Alligator mississippiensis: one gene and its partners. The protein of the gene in region 1 interacts with the protein of each later gene in a pairwise test. Links are inferred from orthologs where the notes say so. Each region holds a gene or a part of one and is shown on either strand. Other genes may lie near its edges.

Region 1 (7,699 bases):
TCTTTTTCTAGAACAGGCAGCTACACCATATGACACTTCTTATTAATTGATTAAGCTCCATCTTAAAAGTAATTAAGTTTTTTGCCTTTACTATGACTATTGGAAAGCTTTTGTAAATCCTCACTACTCTGGTAGTTTCACATTTTCTTCTAATTCCCAGGTTAAGTTTATACATGCCAGGTCATACTGTTCTGCTGCTCACTTTACACAACTATTCCCACTAAAGTCAATGGGACTGCTAGTCCAATAAGTAAATCAAGGCAAAAATGGGTGAAATTTGTCCACTTCTTTCTTTTTGGAAGTGCTAGTTCTTCAACCCCTGATTTTATCTTTATATGCCTCCTTAAATTGCATACCTATTACAATTATTTTGTTTAATGGGCTATTTATGATTGAGACTTATGCTAAAACAAGGAAGATGTAAAGAGCTATAACATTTTCAGAGCTATGCCTTGTTAAGACCAACCCTACAGATACAGAAACAGCAGTGCTTTTTCCAATTTAATTCAAGTCATTCAGACGGCTGTCAGTGTAAGGTCATCAGTATAGACAATCACACTTCAGTCAATCAAACTTTTACTATAGTAGAAACTTCATCATTACACTCTGCTCTGACCATGTGAAAAGGTGCATTTATAGAATTTAAGGCTGGAAAGAACCATTAGATCATTTGGTCTGACAACCTGTATATCACAGGTGATTAAACATCACCTAATTAATCTACTCAGCACAGTAACTTGTGTTTGACTAAAGTAGATCCTCCAGAAAGGCATCCAATGCTGCTCTGAAGCATCCAGAAACAGAAAACTCACCAATTCTTTGGCAGTTTATGAATAATCCAGTGGTTGTCCATGGTTAACCCAATGGTTAATCAGGCTCAATATGACAAGAGTGCATTATTTCCTATTTATATCTAGTTTCTGCTTCCACCACAGGTTCTTATCACACATGTCTGCTCTATATTAGAGAACCCTTTGTTACCCAATATTCTCTCCCTCTGGGGGGACTGATTCTTTGTGAACAGCTCCTCAACCTTCTTCTCAATAACCTAATTGCTCTAATTAGCTCCAATTTCTCACAATGTGGCATCTTCTTCAGCTCTCCAATCAGTTTTGTGGCTGTTTTCTGCACCCTTTCCAAACTGCGAAAAGCCTTATCAAATTATAGACACTGGAACTGGACACAGCATTCCAGTAGCAGTATTACTCTTTAGGTGCCCACAGATCTCATTAGCCCTTTTTTGGCCCAGCAGTATAATAATGCAAGCTCATGTTAAACTGCTTGTCCAAAATGACCATTCAATCCTATTCCAGAGTTACAGGTTTACAAGATACATCCCCACATTATGCAAGTATGGCTTGCATTCCTTACTTCTATAAATATAACTTTGCTGTTGGGTATATTAAAATATATTTTATTTGAATGAATCCAGCTTATCAAGTGAGCCAGCTTACTCTGTATGATTGTCCTGTCATTATTGGTACTTCTCATTCTGCCAAACTTTGTGCTGTTTTCTGTTCCACCTGATAAACACATCCTTTTCACTAACTGCTATTTTTCGCCTGTTTGGGGGCCAGATCCTGCCATCCTTACTTGGGCTGAATATGACTTTAAGCTATGAACAGTCCCACTGACATAAAGTACTATTCAACATGATAAACAGTGGTAAACTCTGAGTTTCTAAACTGGAGCAGCGGTTTTCCTTAAGTCTGCACTCTGTTGCTAGCGATCTGACCTTCACTTCCCAGATAAACTGACTCAGACATATATCAGAAAAGGAAAAAAACAGCTTTTAACATCAACTCACCATAATCTAACACAATATTCTGCCACAAAACTATGTTACCCATAGTACCATACAAACATTAAAATTGAGATGAGTGAGTTGCATTCCTGGAATTTTTACAATAAGGCAAAACATTTCCATTATGTTTCACGGGATATTTTGTTGTTGTTTCCACGTTAAAAGGGACACAGGAGACCTGGCATCTCTTAATGACATTCTATATGAGATATTACATTTATGAATTCTCTGCAGCTACAGTGTGAGCCACATTCCACCACCTCATCCAAAAAAATAGTTATATGTCTTAGTAAGTGCAAAAATATTAATGGGAATGCAATATATTCCCCCTTGCTCTGAAATGGGATATTTTTAGCCTAACTGCTCTAAATGTATTCTACTATTGGGGGGGAGGGGGGAGACTGAAACAAGACGCTGAGGAGAGAACCGCAAAAATACGCTCTCACTTTCCAAACAGTGCTAAACACAAACAACTAAACTTACGTGGGATTCAAACTTGACCAAAAGTGATAAATTCCTTTCTAATATATTTCAGACTCTTACTTTCATTCACGGTTTGTTTGTTACGTTTTCGTTCATTTACAGATTCTGAGTTTAGGCTTGCTTTCCCCAGGCATACATCTGTTCATTTTTTTCCCATGCATACAGTTTTTAACATTTACACCACCGATCACGCTATTGCCAAACACCAGCCATTTTGTTTTATATCATGCTATCGCTTATAGTCTAATAATTTGCCTATCTCTCCACTAATCAAATTATGCAGTCTTTTATAAAAAGAGCCAATTCAATATATGTGTGTCTCAATTCTAATTTGCACTCCGTAGCACATTAAAATAAGGCAAGAGCAAGATTTACCTGTAAAAAGTTGAAGGGGCAGCTTCCCTCATTCCAAAGCCGCTTTGATCATTTTCAAGGTAGTACGGTACTTGTTGGCTATGGTGATGAATGAACGGAGAGAGCTGGGGCGCAGTTTGTAAGAATACCACTGGGCTTGGAGGGACATTGTTCAGTGAATGAAACCCTCCCAAACTGCTGGATCCATATGATTCAGAAGTAGGGGCATAACTGAGGCTAGTAGAGCTGTACACTGGAGCAGCAGTGGCAAAATCATAAGTGGTGCCTTCTGGGTAGTTAAAAATGCCTGTCTTGTTGCTCTCCACATACATCTCACTGAGCGATCGATCTAGGGGAATCTTCAGCTGAGGTCTGCTCAAAGTCTCCAGTTCAGTGCCTTGAATCTGGTGCAGCAGAGTAACTCCAGAGGTTTTGGTGTGAAGGGTCATGGTCATTGTTAATGGCAGCGAGCAAGTGGCATATCTGTTTTTATTGTCAGCAGACAGATCAGCAGCTGGTAGCCCACCTGAAAAAAGAACAGATTCTAGTCTGAGGCTCCGCAAATATCATGTTAAGGCAGCACTGCACAGGTATTCATGTAATCTCAGCAAGGAGGAGCATACATTCAAATACAGCGTTAGCACTGAGAAAGCTCTCTCCCTCTCCCCCTCTCTCTCTCTCTCCTTTCTCTGCAACTTTTAAGTACTTCTCATCTGAGCTAATATGCATTACAAAGGTGCTGGCCATAGGCCAGGAACTCTTGCCTTGTGCTGACATTGGTTTAAACATCACTTCAGAAGCAATTAGTTTTGGAGTGATACCAAATAATTGTTCTACTACACTTTACTTCACTCTTATTAGTTGTTTAATTTTTCACTTCACAGGGCCCTGATGCTCTACAGTGCTTAAGGCAAAACAGTATTTATATCAAATTAGGAAGACTAGTCCCGTGGTCAGTCAGATTACTGCTTTTTATTTTCCCACCAGGCTCCAATCTATCTCTGCTTATCTCTTCTCCCGTTTGATTCATTTTCATGTTTGCTAGAAATATGTAATGTGTACATTGTAATGACCCTGGCTAGGACTATGCTGTAACTGAGATATGGCTGAGTGCAATGTGTGTGTACATGTGTGTGTGTATGCAGCTAGTCAGTCAGTAAAACTCCATTTAAAATAAATTAATGGATCTACTATATCTATGTAGGAGAAAAGAATTATGATTATTCTTGTTATTTAACTGGCAGCTGAATGCAAGAGGAAAAAGAAAAGAAAATCCTTTAAGATTCCCCTGTACATCTCTGCCTGCTTCTTGTTCAGTATGTAAAATCAGAGCAACATAAGCTTAAATATGAAATAAAGCATCAATTAAACCTTGCCATATTGAATCCCAGATAGCTGGTCAAAAATAGAGTTAATTATGTGAAACATGAATTGAATATTAACAAATTGAATAGGAGTATTTTCTTCCTGATTTCCTAGTGATAAACACTTAGGACACTTCAACTGAGACACCAATTTAGAAAATCCAAAAAAATACAAAAGGTCCAATTTTTCAATAAAATAAAAATGTCCCACTTAAAGCTACGTTTAAGACTAAGCAAGAAAAACAGAATTATAGTGAAAAAGTGTGGCAGGCACGTGTCTTCTGGCAATCTATTTTCATTGTATTTTAACTTAACAGAAACTGTTGGTCCCGCACCAATCTAATGAAAACCTCTGAAAATTGTTGCAAGTTCTCTAGCAATGCTATTATGGTCTGTGGTTCAGTTGGTACAATGGATTGGTTTAAATACCTAACACACAAATACAGGGCTCTAGTTAACATGGCTTGAGTATTAATATAAATATAAATCATACCAAAATAACTACATGCATCAGACAACCATTTGAAAATCATGTTAATCAAATTAAATAGGGTTTAAAGAAGTATAGAAATATCTTTGCAAGTTTTAACATGATTTAGTTTCAAATCAACTTTACTATAAATGGTTTAACCTAAAGAAAATAACTATTAATATAACATATCAGAGCTTTTGCTAAACAAGAAAAAAATAACCTGTACTTGTAAGATTTCACTGAAACATGCTCGAACTCTGCATACATACTATACACACAGCAGCATACACTTCAATGTATATGTACTTGATAGATTCCCCCCACTTTCTACTCCCAACTCAAATTTCAGACTGTAGACTTTGATCAAATAGATAACAATGTTTAAATAAGGCTGAACTAAACACATACCTAGTTTTTTAAAAAAAGATCAGACAATCATACCCAGCAGTACAGAAAGTCTTCTAAGAAATATTCTGAAAATATGTCAAAATGTGCAAATGTGTGTAAGAAAGAGTGTGTGTGTGTGTATGTGTGTGTGTGTGTGTGCGTGCATGCATGTGCATGTGCAGTGTGCATGTCAGTTTTTGCGAGGGCTCATGAAGCAAGCATAGCTCTCAGCAGCTTCCTGAATACAAGAGCCAGTAGCTGTGCTACACAGACCATAATGCATGGCAGTTTACAAGTTTAAGGTTAGTTACTGCATGCAAAGTCATTTGGCATATATCAGATATATTTAAACCACAACATTATCTAACATGATCTGCTCTTATACTGCATAATTTGAGAATTATGTCTAATTTTACTATGAGGAGGGTAGTACCCATTTCTAAAATATGCTACACTTGTACATGTAAGGTTTGATTTAAAACACTGTATGATTTTATATTGTTTTATTTGAAAGATATGATATCAACATATAATAAATGTTACATTGCCCTATAGTTGCAAAAACAAAAGTAACTTGACTTTTGAACACAATGCTGTGAAATTTGAATGTTTAAAAACAAAAACAAATGGCATTTTCATTCAATTGGCCATGGGGGGCAGGGGGTTAGAAAACTAAAGATAAATTCCATCATTTACAACTATTTGCTAAACGGCATTGGAAGTTTTGTGTGGTACAACAAGTGAAAACAATAGTACAGAACCCCGTCTTTTCCCCTTTATTACACTTTGGTTCAAAGTCTCCGTATCAGCTCTGTATAGGCGAGTGTATGGAGCTGCAGTGATGGCATGCAGGGCAGGGTACAAAAGAAGGATGAAAACATGGAAGTTAAATTTAACTTTACCTACCCAGTAACAGTTATGCAACTGATGCAGAGTATCTGCAAAGAAATTTAAGCTGTAACCAGTTGTCAGTGTTTCCTACAACACCCAGCCTACCTAGAAGGTACCTGTTCTGTTGCAAAGGGGCTTAGCAAGCCCTGACAGCTACTCTAGAAGTGAGCTTGTTACCGCACCTGAATGTAAGGGAAGTGGGAGTGGCTCTCTTCAGTGAGGATCTAGGGGGTTGGACTAAGCAACTTCTGTTTCAGGACACCGCCAAACCTGAAAAGAAGTTGCCCCCAGATTTTCTTTGTTGCAGTTTGTTTCAGGAGATTATTTTTTGAAAAAAAGTCGTTTACTTTGCAGCTGGTAGTATAGGCTCCAGAACATAAGACTGGTGAAAAGTTTCTAATAACTTGTAATATTTTATACGTTTACTATTTTCTGTAAATCTCAAAGCAATTTGTAAAGTTGTAGGTCATATTTTACAGATAGGTGTAACACGTTTAAAAGGTTTTGTGCACAATCTTGCACACACAAAAATTAAAGACCCAGTATTTGAAACAAGGTCTTTGTGCTTAGAGGCCAGAGCTTATTCTGCTATGTACAAATCCAGCCTGGTCACTCTGATTTATTGATTCTTAGATTTCCCATCTGGGAAATATACCTAATACTCGTACTTGGCACTTTTGCTTCAGATCCCACAGTTTTTAATAAAAAATGGGCACAGTAGCCCATCTTACAAACATCCTGAAAATAATTATGTGATTTGCTAACATTTATGTGGGTAGTTTTTAAAACACAAATTGCCACTTACAGTCTGCACATTAAAGATATATATAATTAACTAAATGGTTAATTTAGCCCACATCTGCTTGCTACAATGCCTTTACTTAACTCATATAAATCAAAAGTGCTTAAAATATCAAGTAATATAAACTCTAGTGATTTCAGACCCAGTGCTTACACTACTAATGCACATTCAATTGTAGCCAAGCTACCAAATATCTTGGTCTCCTTTTTCTCACATTTGAAAAAGGCTATCTTGCAATATATTTACCTAGAACTCACATACAGGACAAGGCCATCTCTCTCTCTCTCATAAAATGTAAAGAGAATTTATTTTGAAAAGCTTCATTAGTGACATAGTGACATTAGACATTCATTTCTAAATTAAGCATTTAGATCAGTTTTTTCTAATTTGCAAAGTGTAGGAATATGCAAATAAAAGTAGTTATCATGCAAAAGTGGATAAAGAAGCTAATACAAGAACAAGTAGGGGAAAGAGAAACATAGGGGTACTGCAAAAGGAGAGTCAAGCTTCTGTGAGCATGTCTACACTTGCATATTAATGCATATGAATAAACTCCGGAGCTTATCGCTCCAGAGATTATTGTTCCTGGGTGCATGTCTTCACATACGCCTGGAATCACAGCACGTTGAGCTAAGTCAGAGCAGCCCCAGCTGGCTCGGGGCCTAGGGAGTCAGCTTGCCAGTCCGGGGCTACTCCAACCTGGCTCAATATGCTGCGGAGGGGCTGGCTGTGGAATGAGGATGCTTCACTGTAGGGCTAGGTAGCAGGCAGCCCCTGCACTGAAGCACCTTCATGCCCCACGCAGCTGGGGCAGTGTTTACATATGTGCTGCTGTAGAGTTTTTTACTCCGCAGCAGGGAAGTACTTGTATTTATGCCTCGCGTTTACACATATGCCTCTCTTAGGCTGCAGTAAACTAATTTACTCTGCATCAGGATAGTACTTGTATTTACAAGGGACTTGTATTTACAAATGCGATCCTGCTGCAGAGTAAGTGACTTTACTGCAGCCTAACAGGGGTGCATGTGTAGACGTGAGACGTTTCCTGTGCAGCTAATTAGTGTACTGCACAGTAAAAATCTCATGTAGACACACCCTGTAACTGCAATGTATACACTTCATTTCAACAAGAAAATCAAAGC
Region 2 (7,736 bases), on another chromosome or scaffold:
CCTATGTGATCTCAGCAGGGCAGGAGAGAAACACACACTCAAGACAAAATTAAGGAAAGAAACTTCCTATCATCTCAGAGTCCGTTGGACTGACTTTCAAGTTAGAATAAACAGCCTTACCCAAAAGCCAATTCATACAATACAGGCAGGCTATTTGTGGAACTGAGCATTTTCAGAATATTTAAAACACAACTCTCAGGCTTCTCCAATACTGCACATTTACCAGTTAGCCCTTTCTACTATATTAAACTAATAATGTGAACTGCAGTTCCTTTCTTAATACACACTAATTTAGCTTAGTGATTCAGCTAATCTGAAGGAAGTCAGTTGTTTCCTACAACCCAGTTTCACCTATTTTTAGGCAAATACGTTAGCCAGTTTTGAAAGCCATTCTGAGGTCAAACCCCATTTTCAAAATACACCACCCATGCTACAGATGAAAAAGGAGAAGAGAACCAATAGAAAGAACAGAATGAAGAGGCTGATAGACCATTTTATGTTTACCAGTTCAGGAAAATAGCTAACAGACTCAGAAACTGCTAAGCGTCATACAAGCAAGGTGAATGGAATGAAGTTATAGCAGTGACACTATGTATGCTGAGCAAGAAGTAAAACCATGATAAGTAGAAACAAGTTATGAGAAGTGAGTAGTCAGTAAAGAAAAAAAAAAAAGTAGATCTGTTCCAACTTTCAAGCAAAAACTGTGGTTAATAATAGCCATATTGGAAAAGGCTTCAGTGGAGCCCACCTAGTATCCCCAGGCCCAACCATTTCATTTAAAAACAAGCAAGAATAAAGAAGTTAAAACACTGAAAATGAAGAGATTTAAGGAATCTAAACAATCCCCTCTTCTGCAATTAGTCACACTTACATCATCCAATATTTGGCCCTAGACATTGGACAGTGAATTTACAAAGGTCAAAATATCTTAAAATCATAAATACGCATTTCCTATTTAAGAGAACAAGTATAGACAGACTCTGAGAAATCCTTTCATTTTGGAATAAAACGTTGAAGAAAGTAGTAAGTGCTGGAAGCAAGGTCAACTGAGGTACAACTGAGGTACAACTGAGTGGGGTAACTCTGTATTTGTTCCATATCAAAATAAGTTTACAGAGCTTGGAAAAGCTTGGTCAGAGCTTGACCTTTTTGTGGGGACTGAAAGAACTGCAAATTACACCCCCTTCCCCCAGCAAATTAAAAAAAAACCCCAAAACACCTTACATTCCAGTATACAAATAGGTTTACAACGTTAGCAAAATCAGTTAACAGCACAAACAAGATACTATACCACTGGTTTTGAGAAGAGTAAAAAGCAGTCAAAAAGGTAAACAGGACCTCTGTACAACCACAACCTTCCTATTCAAATATATCAATAAGATGGAGATTTATGTGCCATAGCAAGCAAGAGTTGTTACCTCTCACCCGCTTTTCTGTAGCACGCTCCAATTCCTAGGATTATGTGGCATATTTTACCTAAAAAAAATCCCTGCCACTGCAGCGACCCCAGGGCATCACGTGTGTCCTTGTCTCTCCTGCTCTCTGCTAAAGCAGTCTGAAAGGCTCTTGAGTTTTTTGTACAAGAGCCTCCCAGTTTATGTCAGGCAGCTCTGGTGTTTGTGGAGTGTCTGCATGTGGGGAGAGAGGGAGGGCAGAAGAACAGATATTCTTGCAGATCCTTTTGAACCCAAGTGGGCCCTTTTGCCTGCAACAACCTATGCGATCCCTTCTAGTCTAGACCTGGTATTTGCCAACCAGACAGATGCTAACAAAAAGGAACTCTTGGGTGCCAACACAACACTTACAATGTGCTGAAAACAGATCCTGAAAAGCCGCCGCGTTCAGATTTTTGCCCAAACGAATCCGCTCTTCCCATCAGAAGCAAACTGCCCTTGCCGCATTTAGATAGCAAAGGAAAAAGTAGCTCCCTTGCTCAAAAACGCCACGGAGCAATGGGGCAGGTCGAATCATAGGAAGCGAGGGTTGGAAGGGACTGGACCGCAAGAGGTCATCTAGCCCAGAGGATCTCAGTCATTTTTTTTTCCAGGGCCCATTTGTAAACACGGACAGCCAGTTCCAACCCAACGTCCCCACTCTAAGCCACCGTGCTGCACCCCCAGATCCCAGCCTCCCAGTGCGCAGGGTGGGGGGGCCTCCAAGCAGCCTTGCAGGCTGGAGCTCTGCCAGCCTGCACCAGAAAAGCCACACTTCCCCACGTGTCGCTTTTAAAGGAGAATCCATTTTTAAAGTTTTTTTGCCACCCTTTCCAATATTCTCGCAACCCGCCCATTGGGAAACACTGACCTAGTCCAACTCCCTGCTCGGGCCCAATTTGAGGGAGCTGCGGCCTCCTCAGGCAACAACTACATGGAACCAGAAGAGGCAAAACGAGAGCCCCCGCATCCCCATGCAACGCATCAGTTTGGGAGAAGGAGATTGAGGGCGTGTGAAGCCTCAGCCCCCGCCGGGCTCTGCCCATGCCTTCAGCGCTGTCCCGGGCACCCGCCTCCTTGACACCTGCCAGGCTCCCCAACGCCTACGCCCCGGGGTGGGGGTGGGGGGGCGCGGGGCGTTGTGCAAGTCATCACCACCACCGTTCCCCCCCCCCCCTCCGCGAGCCGGACGGGAGGGCGGGGGGGGGGGCCGGGACCTCCCCGCCCAACCCCGCCCCGGCCGCCGCGCTACTGCCACGTAACCGGACGGCCCCGGCCCCGCCCCCCACAGCCCCGACGGCTCAGCAACACCCGCGCCGGGGCGAGCGTGCGCGGGGCACCACGGGATGGACACGGGCACGGGCGGCAGGGACGGACAAGGGCTCACCTCGAACATGAGGCCGAGCAGGAAGACCATGGCCACGCAGGACACGATGTCCGCGTGGTTCTGTACCACAAACTCGTGGCTCAGCACGGGCGGGTTCTTGTTGCTCTTCTTGCGGATCGCCATGGCGGGCCCGCGCCGCTCTGCCGCTAGCGCAGCCCCTTGCCGCCGCGGCCAGGAAGAGGCAGAGGGGACAGGGGAGGTGCCCGGCGCGCCCCGCCCCGCCCCGCCCCGCGCGCGGCCCCGGGCCCCGCTTCCGCCTCGCGCCGCCCCCGGCAGCGGCAGCCCGCAGCGACCCCTGGCGGCCGGCGGCCGGGAGCGCAGCGAAGCAGGGCCACCCCTCGCGCGGTGCAGAGCAAACTAAGGAGCCCTCCGCGCGGGCGGGGCAGCGGTGGGGGTCCTGTGCACGGCCGCTCGCCAGGCTTTCCCCGCTGCCAGAAGGAAGAGCGGTCTTGAACCACGCCCGGTTGCCGTGAGGAGCTGCTCAAAAGCCTTTGCAGAAATGCATCCAAACGGAGGGGAGCAGAGTCCCCGTGTGACTGGCCAGCTCCCGAAGGGCGGTCAGAAGCGCAGCAAATGAGGGGTGGGAGGGGGCGCAGGACGTGCCTCCAGCCCCCTGCTCAAAGCAGGACCAGCCCCAACCAGATCATCCCAACCCAGGCTTTTTAAAACCCGCCTAGACAAACCTCCAAGGCTGGAGTTTCCACCACCTCTCTGGGTAACTTGTTCCAGTACCTGACTACCCTCCTCCTGAGGGAGTTTTTCCCTACCATCTAACCTCAACTTCCCTTGCTGCAACTTGAGACCATTGCTCCTTGTCTGCCATCTGCCACCACTGAGAACACTCTAGCTCCATCCTCTTTGGAGCCACCCTTCAGGTAGCTGAAGGCTGCTATTAAATCCCTGTCTTCTCTTCTCCAGAATAAATAAACCCTGTTCCCTCAGCCTCTCCTAAGTAAGTGAGGCAGAACTCAATTTTTATTTTTTAATAGTTTCGACAGCTAAAATAAACATTTTTAAAGCATTTCTTTCAGTGGTGACACATAGGGGTTGTCTGAGGGTTGGGTTTGGCCATGGGGGGACCACCCCCCCTCGGTTGCTGACAGGACACGTCCCCCTTGACTAAGATGACATCAGTCGCCCATGATTTCTTTTGATTTTTATGGATTTAATTTTTCAGGGTTGTGTGAAATGACTAAATTATCTGCCGCCCATGCCTAATGACAACATACTGTTAAAAGCTTTATAAAATCACATTAAAATATAAAAAGAAAATATCCATAAATCAGAACAGTATACCTACTTTAAATCATTCTGTTCATTTGGTAGTACATTCATAGAAGTGAAAAAATTAATAAATTAAACCCTTTTTTTGTTAGTTATTGGAATGCATAATTTGCTAGATCCAGCAGACTAATCCAGATTTCAAAAGCTTTCCAAATTTAAATCTATGTCTTTATTGTAGTACAAAAAAGTTGGGCTGTTCAAGTCAGTCTTCAGAGAGGCGCATGCAATATTGTCTTGAACTTTTCTGAACAAACTAAATAATCTTTCTGCAAACACTGAGATTGCTGGCACTGTGAGTGCACATAATGCCACATGGGCCATGACAGGCAGTAAATGGGTCTCACTTTTCCAATAATCAAGTACTGTTGTGTTGCTATAATGGCATTTCACGTGCCATGGGCAGGTCAAAGTCGTACTTGAACTCGTCAGCCTTGCAAGTGAAAATACACAGAATATTTTCAGAGTCACTATAACTGTGTGACATCTGAGCCTCAATAAATGGGTCAAACACTTTACAGTTAGCAAAGGCAGATCCCAATCCATAACGTGTCTGGTACACTGTAGGATAGGATTGCCTTCAGTTTGCTTTGAAATTGTGAAGCAAATCATTCATTGCAGATGAAAGGGGTGGCTATCTATAGCGCATTGTCCCCTAGTTCTTCTTTCAAAGCATTATTTATATCAGCATTAACTTGTCGATAGCAGTTAAGCAGAGAGTTAATGTGATGTATCAGGGGTGCATTTGTTTCCATTTGCAAATGAACAATATGGTTCCCCAAAACCACATGAGCAAAAGATACCTTGCAGTAGTTCTCATTGGTTTCCATTTTCCTTGACCATCCCGCATAGTTTTGTTTTCTTTATTTACATCTTGTTGTTTAGTAAGAAAGTCTGTCACGCTGTCCCAATAGGCATGAATGCATTTTGCTGCAGCAAGCCAGGAAAACTAGTGAGGTTGCACAATGGGGAAGGGGGGGGGGGGGACACATGCAAATCCAATGGACTTGTGTTGTTTCTGGCACAGACTTATAAAAAATGGTCACATTTGCTTGTCGAGATGTTTAAATATTCCTAGAAAAGGTACCACAAATCCATTAATGTTGTGGAACTTGTTTGTTTTTAATGCAAGATCAATGGCCACATGCAAAAGATGAGCAATGCACATAGAATGTGCAGTTACTGCAGTAGATGTGGAGGCATTTCTTTCAAGTCCTTCACAAGGTATTTGCGTGTATATTGTGGAGTCACTGTTGATTGTCACAGTTTTCTCACATTTGGCTGTACTCTCTCAACACATCTTGAATCCAAACTGAGATGATCCCTGCATTGCACTGAAGAACAGAGGATTTTAACTGAATTTTATTTACAGACTTATTTTTATCACAGTAGAACACTGCAAGGGTGTTAATTGCTGGCTGTCCTGCAAGCTCAGGGGTTTCTTCAATTACTAAAGAAAATTTCTCATCACTCAAAAGTTCTTTAATCCCTGGTTGGCAGTGGGTGCAAACTTCAGATAAGTATTTTTCTTCCAGCTGACAACATTCTGAGCAAGTACAATGTGCTGGTGTATATTTGTGAAGCAGAGCAAATAAATAGCATGAACCCTGGGCCACATTAATACAAAAAGCACAACATGCATACCAGATCGTGAAGGAAATCCGCTGCTTCTTCCTTCCGTTGTCTCATTCTTCCCAAACAGGCTTCCATCGTAACCTGTGTTGTTTTTGTTTGACTTGCTTTTAATTTCAAATGAGTCTTGTTGTTCAAGTGTTCAAAAATGTGATTTGCCTGTTGGGTGACTTCTTTCTTACAAACCCCATACCAAGCAGCCTGTGGCCCTGTCCCACTCCCCGCTGAGGCCCTGCGGCTGCACATTGCAGCCCTGGGCCCCAAGTATGCAGCCTCAGCCCCACTCAACTCCCTCCCTCCCTACGGAGGCCTCAATCCCCACCTTCTCCCCCACACTTACCTGCAGGAGCTGCTCTCCAGAATGCATGGCAGCCATGTGCATATATGTACATGGTGCCCCCTGCCTGACCACCCTCTTCCAACACTCCCTTCTAACACCCTCCAGGCTGGAACTCTGCTATCCTGCAGAGGGCTCCTCAAAACTGCAAAATCCGCAGGTTTCTCTGGTAAAATGAGAAGTCCGTGTTTGGCTCCAGTAAAAGGTAAAATCCGCGGTTTACCCCATTTTTCCATGGGAAATGGAAAACCCAGATCCCTGGCTAGGCAGAGGTTTGGCCCTTGCCCCAATTACATGGGCTGGCCTGGGCTCACCAAGAGTTTGGCACCTGATCCCTGGTTGGGACCTGGGCGAGCAAGCAGCCTGTGGCATTGGGCTCCCAGCTGCCAACAGACCTGCCCTTCCCAGCACAACTCCAGCTCCTGCAGTGGCTGTCCGAGTTGCTGCCAGAGGAGCAGTGCATGGGTGGCACAACTGAGGTTCTGTGTGTATACATGCATGGCATCTGCTGCCCCAGATTTCCTTACTCCCATCCCTGATTTTTTTCTTCCTTTTTCTATAAATATTGATGATTACCAACAGAAGTATTTTTTTCCATCAGCCTGTGATTGTCAGGTGAAATTCCTGCTTATCTATGTTTATCAATAAACTTGAATCCTGCCAAGCCTACTCATAAGTCATGTGCCCTAGCCCCCTAACAATTTTTGCTGCCCTCTCCAATTTATCCACATCCTTTCTTTAGTGGAGGGCTAAAAACTGGACACAGTACTCCAGATGTGGCCTCAGTACCAAATGGAGGGGAATAATTACTTCTTTAATTTGCTGGTAACACTCCTACTACTGCAGCCCACTATGCTGTTAGCTTGGCAACAAGGACACACTGTTGGCTCATATTCAGTTTATTGTCCACTGTAACCCCCAGGTCCTTTTCTGCAGAGCTGCTGCCCAGCCAGTCAGCCCCCAGCCTTTACCAGTGCATGGGATTATTCCATCCCAAGTGCAGGATTTTGCACTTGTCCTTATTGAATTTCATGACATTTCTTTTGGTCCAATCCTCCAATTTGTCTAGGTCACTTTGAATCCTAGCTCTACCCTCCAGCGCATCTACTACTCCCCCTAGCTTGGTGTCATCTGCAAACTTGCTGAGGATGCACTTTATCCTATCTTCCAGGTCATTCATGAAGATATTGAACAAAACCAGCCCCAGCCCCTGGGGCACTCTGCTTGGTACCAGCTGCAAACCAGACATTGAGCCATTGATTACTGCCCTTTGAGCCTGATGATCCAGCTAGTTTTCTATCCACCTTACAGTCCATTCATCCAACCTGGACTTTCTATGCTTAGGATTCTTCTGGAGAAGACCACCTTACTCTATTTTCCCCTCCGTGTATTTTTACTCTACAACATTTTTAGACCACACCAATAATTTATAAAGGGCTTCAGGCTGAGGATAGACAAGGCACCATGGGACTTGAGCACCAGTCCTATTTAGTATGCCTCCCATTATGCCACACATACCAGGCAGGATGTGTTGGTATTTTGGGAATGGAGATGAGAACCCAATTGCGCCCTACTCGCCTGTGTAGGCAAATTGTTTCAAGATTCCGTCTTTATTAAACATGGCTTATTTGACAGTAAAAGTTACAGTTAACAGTTGTGCTTTATA
Region 3 (7,414 bases), on another chromosome or scaffold:
CACCTTTTTAAAGCTAAGGAACTGAGGTACAGACAAATTGCATGACCTAACCAAGGCATCAAAAGAAGTCTGTGGAAGAGTGAGACAATGAATGCAGAGCTTGTGAATCTCAGCCTACTATTTACTGTACTTTTCACATTTTATTCTTTTTTGATCAGTTAAACTGTAACATTCACTTTCCCTTTTGCTTCTAATCTGTTTAATTTTCCAGTTCTTATTAGGAGTTTGCATAAGACAGGGCACAATGGAGAGCTAGGGTACAACTGGAGACTGGCCCCAGCGGTCATTACACTGAAGTAAAGGAAGGACAGATTAGGAGTGGGTGGAGGTTTCTTGGGTTTCATGATTTTATCATTTTTGAAAGCCCCTCATTTATAACATCTAGGAGCAGTTCAGTTCCTGGATGCTAAAAATACCGCGAGGACAAATCTTTTATTTCAACATGAATGGGCCCTTGAGGCAAAAGACAAGCCTGTGAAAACCTAAGCAGAAATACCAAGTTATGCGATTTTATTAATGTTTTTTTTGTAGAACACAATGACACAGCACAGCTGTGTTTTTTTATATGTAAATTAAATTATGAAATCCATTCCACTCATGCTGTGTTAGATTTTAGCATTTAAAAAAAAAAATCTAATTTTGAGAAATAAAAGCTAGTTGATACAGGCCCTTCAGACAAGTTTCTAAAAGTACATGATACAACTGCACAAGGAAATAGAGGAAGGAAGCAAATCAGTTTTATTAAGTTGTCAAATAACTTACTAAGGGATGTTCCATAGCATGGAAACTGAAAACATCTGAACTGCAAAGCCATTCAGAGTAATTAACTTGAACTTTTGTGCTCTAATTAATTATTTTAAAGCCATTCCACTATAAACAGGTTGTGGGATATGTGAGAGCAGGGAGTGAATAATCCTATTAAAATGTAGAGAATATTTTTCTCTTGAGCTAGTATGGGAAACTCTGATATCAATGGTACAAGTTCTGGTTTGCCCAGATAATGAAATATGCAGTTTGGCTGAACAGCTCACTACTTAGTTCAGATCCAGCTGGGGAAACGTTGGATGCCAAAGTTGTTTCAAATATGCTGAACAAGTAAATTCTTTTAGCTGTTTACATGACTATTTTTGTCTTTCAGCACGAAGCACTTATCTAGTATGAAAAATTTACTGTTCAAAATGGAAGGAAGGAGCTATGGGATTCAGTCTGGAGCTTAATCAGAAAAAAACATGAATTTTAAAAGGGTCCGATTCAGAAGAGACGTGTGGGTGTTTCATTATAACTTTGAGAGCACATATTTCAAGAGGGAGCTTGAAAAGCAGTTAAAAAGAAAATACAGTATGTTCAATGATACGAGTATGGGAAAGACCTGAGGCATGCTAGACCAGGAAATGATTAGGAAATAGTTGTTTAACTAGTAAGATAGGCAGCAATATATACAGTTTGAATGAATCCCACGGGGACAGTCCTTGCTGGATACATGTTAGAGTGAAGACACTGTTTGTGCTGAGTAGAAAAAACAATTACAAATACCAGAAGTAAAATGTTCACGTGATAGGACACTATTTGTAACCCTATTTTTAAATGTTTTTAAAGAGGATGACCTGTTAGGTCACGTGAAAACAGCTGAAGGATGAAACAAAATATTTAGCTAAACTTTTGTTGATTTAACAACTTATATTTATATCAGATAGGAAAAAAATGTGAACCCTCACGCTTCAGCACATTGCCTAGATTAGAAATAAACACCTTTTAGGGGTGGAGTATTTTATAATTGTGCATTATGGGGGTGTTGCACTTTTTCTCTAAAGCAGCTGTTTTTTGCCACTACTCAAGGCAGCATGTTCGGTGATTTGATCCTTCGTGGCAGTTTGCTCACTTCCAGACCAGCTCCTATATACAAGTGTGTAGCAGGCTGAACATAGAGAGTGTCGGCTTTTAATATTGCTGTAATGCTTCCCAAGTTTGCTTATGAACAGAAATTGTGCAGTTTGGATTTGCCTTTTTTTTTCCTATCCACTCTGACACCCTATTAGAAAACCAGACTCTTCTTATTCTATTACCATAAATGCCTCCCTAATGAGAACTATTTACATACAGGTGGTGACCCTGAATATAGAAAGACACTGCATTCTGTTCAAAAAGGATCATTGTAATGCTGAGTCATAAATAAAAATGAATATATTGATAACATTACAATTGATACCGCTACAATTCAGTTCTGGTCCAGTTCAAACGAGTTATCTGTCCTTAGGTATTGCCAGAATCAAAGTGAGTCCCTTAAAAGAACAGAACCTTAGACAGACCGAGCCTACAATAGTTATAGAGAACTGAAGGCTTCTTTTATATCACAGATGAATTAATCAAATGGTATTTAATCAACATGAAGTTGATACACATGTGATCAGTGTATGGTCTCAATATCCAGAGCTTGCATCAAACGCTGTATTTCTCATGCATGTTTGTTTTGAGGACAGATCTCAGACACAGAACCTACTATATTATTTGTCTCTAGAGCAGCTGGCAACTTTATTGGGAGTCTTTACTCATGTACTTGAAGATTAAATTATACTCAGACTCGTGCCAATTTAGAGAACTCAGATGGTGTCATGGCACTTACTCTAGATTTATTGCAGTTTGGGCAGAATTTGGCTTTAAATCAGGATATAATCTTGGATACTTTCTTGACCAAAGAGTAATTCCTTTAGTTTAGGATGACACACTTCAAAGCAAGGCTACTTATGCCCAGTTGTGGTGGTGGCGGGGGGAAACACAGGGGGTAGGGCTGCTTTGTTTGTAGATGTTAGTGCTCACTCTGGTAAATTTGGTACTATTAACGGGTGCTAAAATAAAAGCCCTTAAATATATTGCTTATTAATTATTCTGTGCGAGTTCAGCATTGATACTTGAAGGCAAGTTCAAAATGATTTCAACAGAACAAAATCATTTAACAGATGTTGAAGTGTTCTGTAATGTAAATAGCAAGTACAAACATATACCAGATTGGGATTATGGTTGGAAATAGCTAGGCCCCGGAGGCTATGTGCTACATAACATCCTCTCTTTGGCTTGTGTGGAGTACTAGATGAGTTTAGACATGCGGAGAGCTGGGGTCACATACACTTAATATGCCTTTCCTTTTAGCTGGCAACACGCAGAGTTTACAAAAACATTTTAACTTTCATCTGCTCAAAATCAGATTGTGTATTGAGCGTACAGCTCTGCCTACACTACCATAATATGCTTTAGGAATAAGAGCATTTACAAGAGAGAGTTGGGAGATGGTTATCTGCCGAACACGCATACTCAGAGATCTCTTTCCTCTTCCGAGAACGTGGTAACACTTATTTTTGCAAAACTTGTTACACCTCTCTATTGCTCTCCCTGAACGTATGCTTGTTTCAGAAAACATCCAGAACCCGACGATCAATCAAATAACACAATGGTTCTCCGACACGTTGAGTCATACTTGTTGAGAAATACTGTGTTGTAAGTTTATTATGCGTATCGCTGTGAGTAACAGGGCTGTCAACAGCCACGCACGTAACGAAAACCGGAGTGCTGTATAGCTGGGTGGCAAGGCACCAACTCCACACGGGAGGGGGATGGACTAGGGGCAGAAGTTACACCTAAACCGGTTTAAGTTGTCAGAACCTGGTTTAAACCTGCAATACAACAGAAGTTCGGTGCAGGTAAACCCGTTTCAGAATGGCTGAAACCGGTTTAAGATAAACCTGGTTGAACGTGGTATCGGACCGAACCGGTTCGGGTCAGACGGGTTATGAACCGTCTCTCCCGGACCCCCGAGCGCGTCGTTTTTGCGCTCTTCGACGCCGCTCTCAGCTCCGCCGCTTTCACGGACGCGGGAGGCGTTCGGCTTCGCGTCCTAGCTGCCGGTGTCAGGAGACGGTCTGGGAACCAAAACAAATCTCTTCTTCTGAAGGGGACAAGTAGTTTCTCGCCCTCCTGGCTTTCCAGAACGTGGGCCGCCGCTTCCTAACAACTCAGGTGCTTGAAGACAAAGAGAAAAAAAGAGTTTTTGTTTTGTTTTAAACCAGTTCCCCCTGCTCTTTGTGGGAGGGGTGACCCATCTTCCCCCCCTCCCCAGTGCCCAGGGCAGGGGGGGGGGGGGTCTCCTCAGGAAGGGACGACGCCCCCCTCCCTACCCCTCAGCGCTCCCTCCCCTCCCCCTTCCCGACAGGCTCCGCTCCCAGGAGCAATTCAAACCGCCACCGCCAAGCCCCGCCCCTTCCTCCCCTCACGCCCCAGCAACAGGCGGACCCGGCTCCTATTGGCCGGGCCCGTGATGCGCCGCGCTCCTATTGGCTCGCGCCGCAAGAGGGAGGGGCGGGGGGAGCCGCGGCCGTATAGAGTACGGGGAGGCGGCCGCCATTTCGTGTGGGAGCGAGCGAGCGAGGGGGCGGCCGCGGTAGGAGTCCGTGGAGCGGGGAGTGAGCGAGCGGCGGGGGTGGCTCCGCGCATAGCGGAGAAGCGGCGGGACCGGCTGCCCGAGGCTCGGTGCAGGCGGGAGAGGCGGGCGGGGTGGGCGGGGGAAGGAGCCGAGCGCGGCCGCCATGTTGTGCCGCTCTATTGTTGGGGGAGGGGTCCGTCCCGGCGCTGCCCCGAGCCCCCGGGGCTGGGCCCCGCCGCGGGCGCCGCGCCTGCGAGTGGCGCTGGAGGCTCCGCCCCCTCGCGGACCCACGAGCGTTTCCCGCACGGCCGCGGCGTCAACAAGTGGATCAAATGCTCGCATCGGAGCCCGAGGAGAGACGCGTTTCCGTGCGCTGCGCCAGGCCCTCCCTTGTTTGTTTAATTAAAATGATGATGATTATTTTGTGTGTGAAGAAACAGTAAAAACGCAGCCTCACGGAAACGAGAGCGGCTGTGCAATGGCCCTACGGAGGATAAATGGTCTTGGACGTCGTCCGTCTTTTGTTCGCGAACTGTCTTCGCCCCTTTGTCTGGGGCGAGGGAGCGTGCCCTGCCCTGCCGGGCACAGTTTCAAACCCAAGACATTTTTCAGCGATCAGCTGTTTGTTTTCTTTTTCCCCGCCCAGGGTCAGTTTTCGCTTCTCTTTGCAGCTGGGACTTCTCACCTGGAGCCTGTTTGCTGAGAATCCGATGTGGGGCTCGGCTTCGTGGCTGGACACGGCAGATCGGCCCATGAAAACGTCTATCCCCAGCCAAAGGAAGAGGTCCGGCAAAAGACAGCACCTCCTTTTCCAGGCTTGGCAGCAGAAGAGGGGACGGGAGGTGGCGGCGGTAGAGTCCGAGAAGAAGACTGAAAGGTAACGGGGAGAGCGGAGCACGAGCCGGCGTTTGGCCGTTATGTCTCGGCCAAAAGTGCTTTGGGAAGTAGCTCTTTGAAATTGCGCTGAAGAATTCAAATGCTTCTCACTCTTTTCATAGTCTCGCATCGTTATATGAGCACCCTCCAATAATTTTGCTGTGTTTTTTTTTTTTCTTTTTCCCCCCACCTCCCCAGGGAGAAAATAGCATGTTTTGATGATGATTATTACTATTATTTATTCTAATTTTAAAAAGTCATAGCAGCCTCTCTTTATTCGTGAAGGCAAGTGGCACAGGGCTGTTAGCTTGGGGGTTTGTGACTGCGGTTTTGATTGTTCTGAAGAGGTTTTTTGTAGAATTAACGCTGAAGTGACCCAGGTCACTCCACTGTTTTCTGGAAAAATAAAAGGTAGCATTCTGATAAAACAGCTGTTCTGGAATGGTCAGCTGCGGTCCCTGTGTAGAGGTTTAGGCAAAGTTCACTTATCACCGATTGTGGATGTTCTAGTTCAGCCATGAAGGGGCTGAGCTGTTTACAGCCTTTCTACCTAGCCAGCAACTGCAGACTGTATCATTCATGGATACTGCGTGAGGACTTAGTGTGAAGAAACACTCCTGGGCTGTGGACTGATTTAAGCAATCGCAGTCCGGATGCACGTTCTTGATTGAAGTGTTTCCAAAACAGGACTTGACAGTGTTTGTTCTGTGAAGCGCTGGGCTGTCTCAGTGACAATAACAGTCTTCTGTTGTGAAGGGCAGGTAGTACTAGAGGTCACCGAACTCCAAACATTTTGTTTTAACATTGGAATGCATTCATTGAATTAAGCTTGAGTTAGTTTAAAAAACAAAACAACTAAATGAAAGGCTCTCGTGGAACTTCAGTAAGTGTTACCATTCCCTCTCAAACAGGTGACATTGAAGTTGAAGATGGGTGGTGGAGAAAGATTCAACATTCCAGTTCCCCAGCCTAGAAATATTAACAAGAATCACCAACAACTTAAAAACAGGCAAAAAAGCAAAGATCAGAATTCTCAGATGAAGATTACCTATAAGAAGAAAGAAAGGGGGCATGGATGCAACTCATCATCTGTTGCATGGCAGGCCATGCAAAAAGGAGGAAAGAATGCTGTGCACTTCCAAAATAATCAGAATTGGAATCCTGCTTTATCAAGTCCCAACACACTTTTTACATCTCGAACCAATCAGAACTATGCTGGAGCAAAATTTAGTGAGCCACCTTCACCAAGTGTTCTTCCTAAACCTCCAAGCCACTGGGTACCTGTTTCTTTTAACCCTTCTGATAAAGAAGTAATGACCTTTCAACTTAAAACATTACTAAAAGTCCAGGCTTGAGAGAACTTGAAACACATTTAAAATTACAGGGTTTCAAATTTGAGAATGAGTCAAAATACATAGTTCCAAAATGCACTGTTTCTCATGAGATTGCTTTGTTGCATATAAAAGTTGTGTCATGACGAGACACGAGGACTTTTCTTGAGGATCTCAAACTTCCACCTCATTCAGGTTTGGTGCATTTTACTGTGAAAAACGTATTTACTTACCATTATGCAACCTAATCAGTTTTTTCAGTGGCTATTAATGCCTGCATTTACTGTATTGGTCTTAAATTGAACTGTTCTCAAATTTGAAGTAATGCTACTTAAAAAAGCTGGGTATCTCAGTGGGTAAGAGCTGCTGTTATAAAACCAACTTTTCTACAATGTAATGCAGCAATAGAAAGAGTATGCAACTTACAGAACACTATGAAATCTTTAGAAAACAGAACTACTATCTTTTACACTTAAAGGTCCATCAGTCACATGAAGTCTTTTTAAGGCTAATTAGCAAGGTTTTTTTCTAAGCAAGCCTCTATCTGGCTCCAGTTGTATCAGTGAATTTTTACTTGGCATTTGTCAGTCATCAGTTGACAGGGCAGACTAACATCTGAGCCTGTGACCAAGACTTTGACTTACTCCAAATTTTAGGGGAGGGGGGTGGTAAAGAAAGTCAAAGGAAATAACATCTTGAGCTTTATCAAAATATAGCAATGCATTTATCTAGAACCTGACCAAGTTGAAGTGTGCCAACTAATGCAGCACTTTGCAGTGCCAGGTGACTGCTAAAA

The links.
Region 2: the proteins of ESR1 (region 1) and TRAM1 interact in a two-hybrid assay, tested with the Homo sapiens proteins (2 studies listed by BioGRID). The link is inferred for Alligator mississippiensis from reciprocal best matches to the Homo sapiens genes ESR1 and TRAM1.
Region 3: the proteins of ESR1 (region 1) and PNRC2 interact in a two-hybrid assay, tested with the Homo sapiens proteins (2 studies listed by BioGRID and IntAct). The link is inferred for Alligator mississippiensis from reciprocal best matches to the Homo sapiens genes ESR1 and PNRC2.

The regions. Positions count from the first base shown.
Region 1 is NC_081824.1:130,605,592-130,613,290, reverse strand, and holds the start of ESR1 (estrogen receptor), read right to left. Parts: upstream 3,097-7,699; coding exon 2,663-3,096; intron 1-2,662.
Region 2 is NC_081826.1:61,158,553-61,166,288, reverse strand, and holds the start of TRAM1 (translocating chain-associated membrane protein 1), read right to left. Parts: upstream 3,026-7,736; 5' UTR 2,944-3,025; coding exon 2,821-2,943; intron 1-2,820. UniProt on the Homo sapiens protein: Involved in the translocation of nascent protein chains into or through the endoplasmic reticulum (ER) membrane by facilitating the proper chain positioning at the SEC61 channel.
Region 3 is NC_081829.1:4,429,669-4,437,082, reverse strand, and holds the start of PNRC2 (proline-rich nuclear receptor coactivator 2), read left to right. Parts: upstream 1-4,336; 5' UTR 4,337-4,429; intron 4,430-4,604; exon of another isoform or gene 4,605-5,082; 5' UTR 5,083-5,288; intron 5,289-6,198; 5' UTR 6,199-6,216; coding exon 6,217-6,642; 3' UTR 6,643-7,414. UniProt on the Homo sapiens protein: Involved in nonsense-mediated mRNA decay (NMD) by acting as a bridge between the mRNA decapping complex and the NMD machinery. May act by targeting the NMD machinery to the P-body and recruiting the decapping machinery to aberrant mRNAs.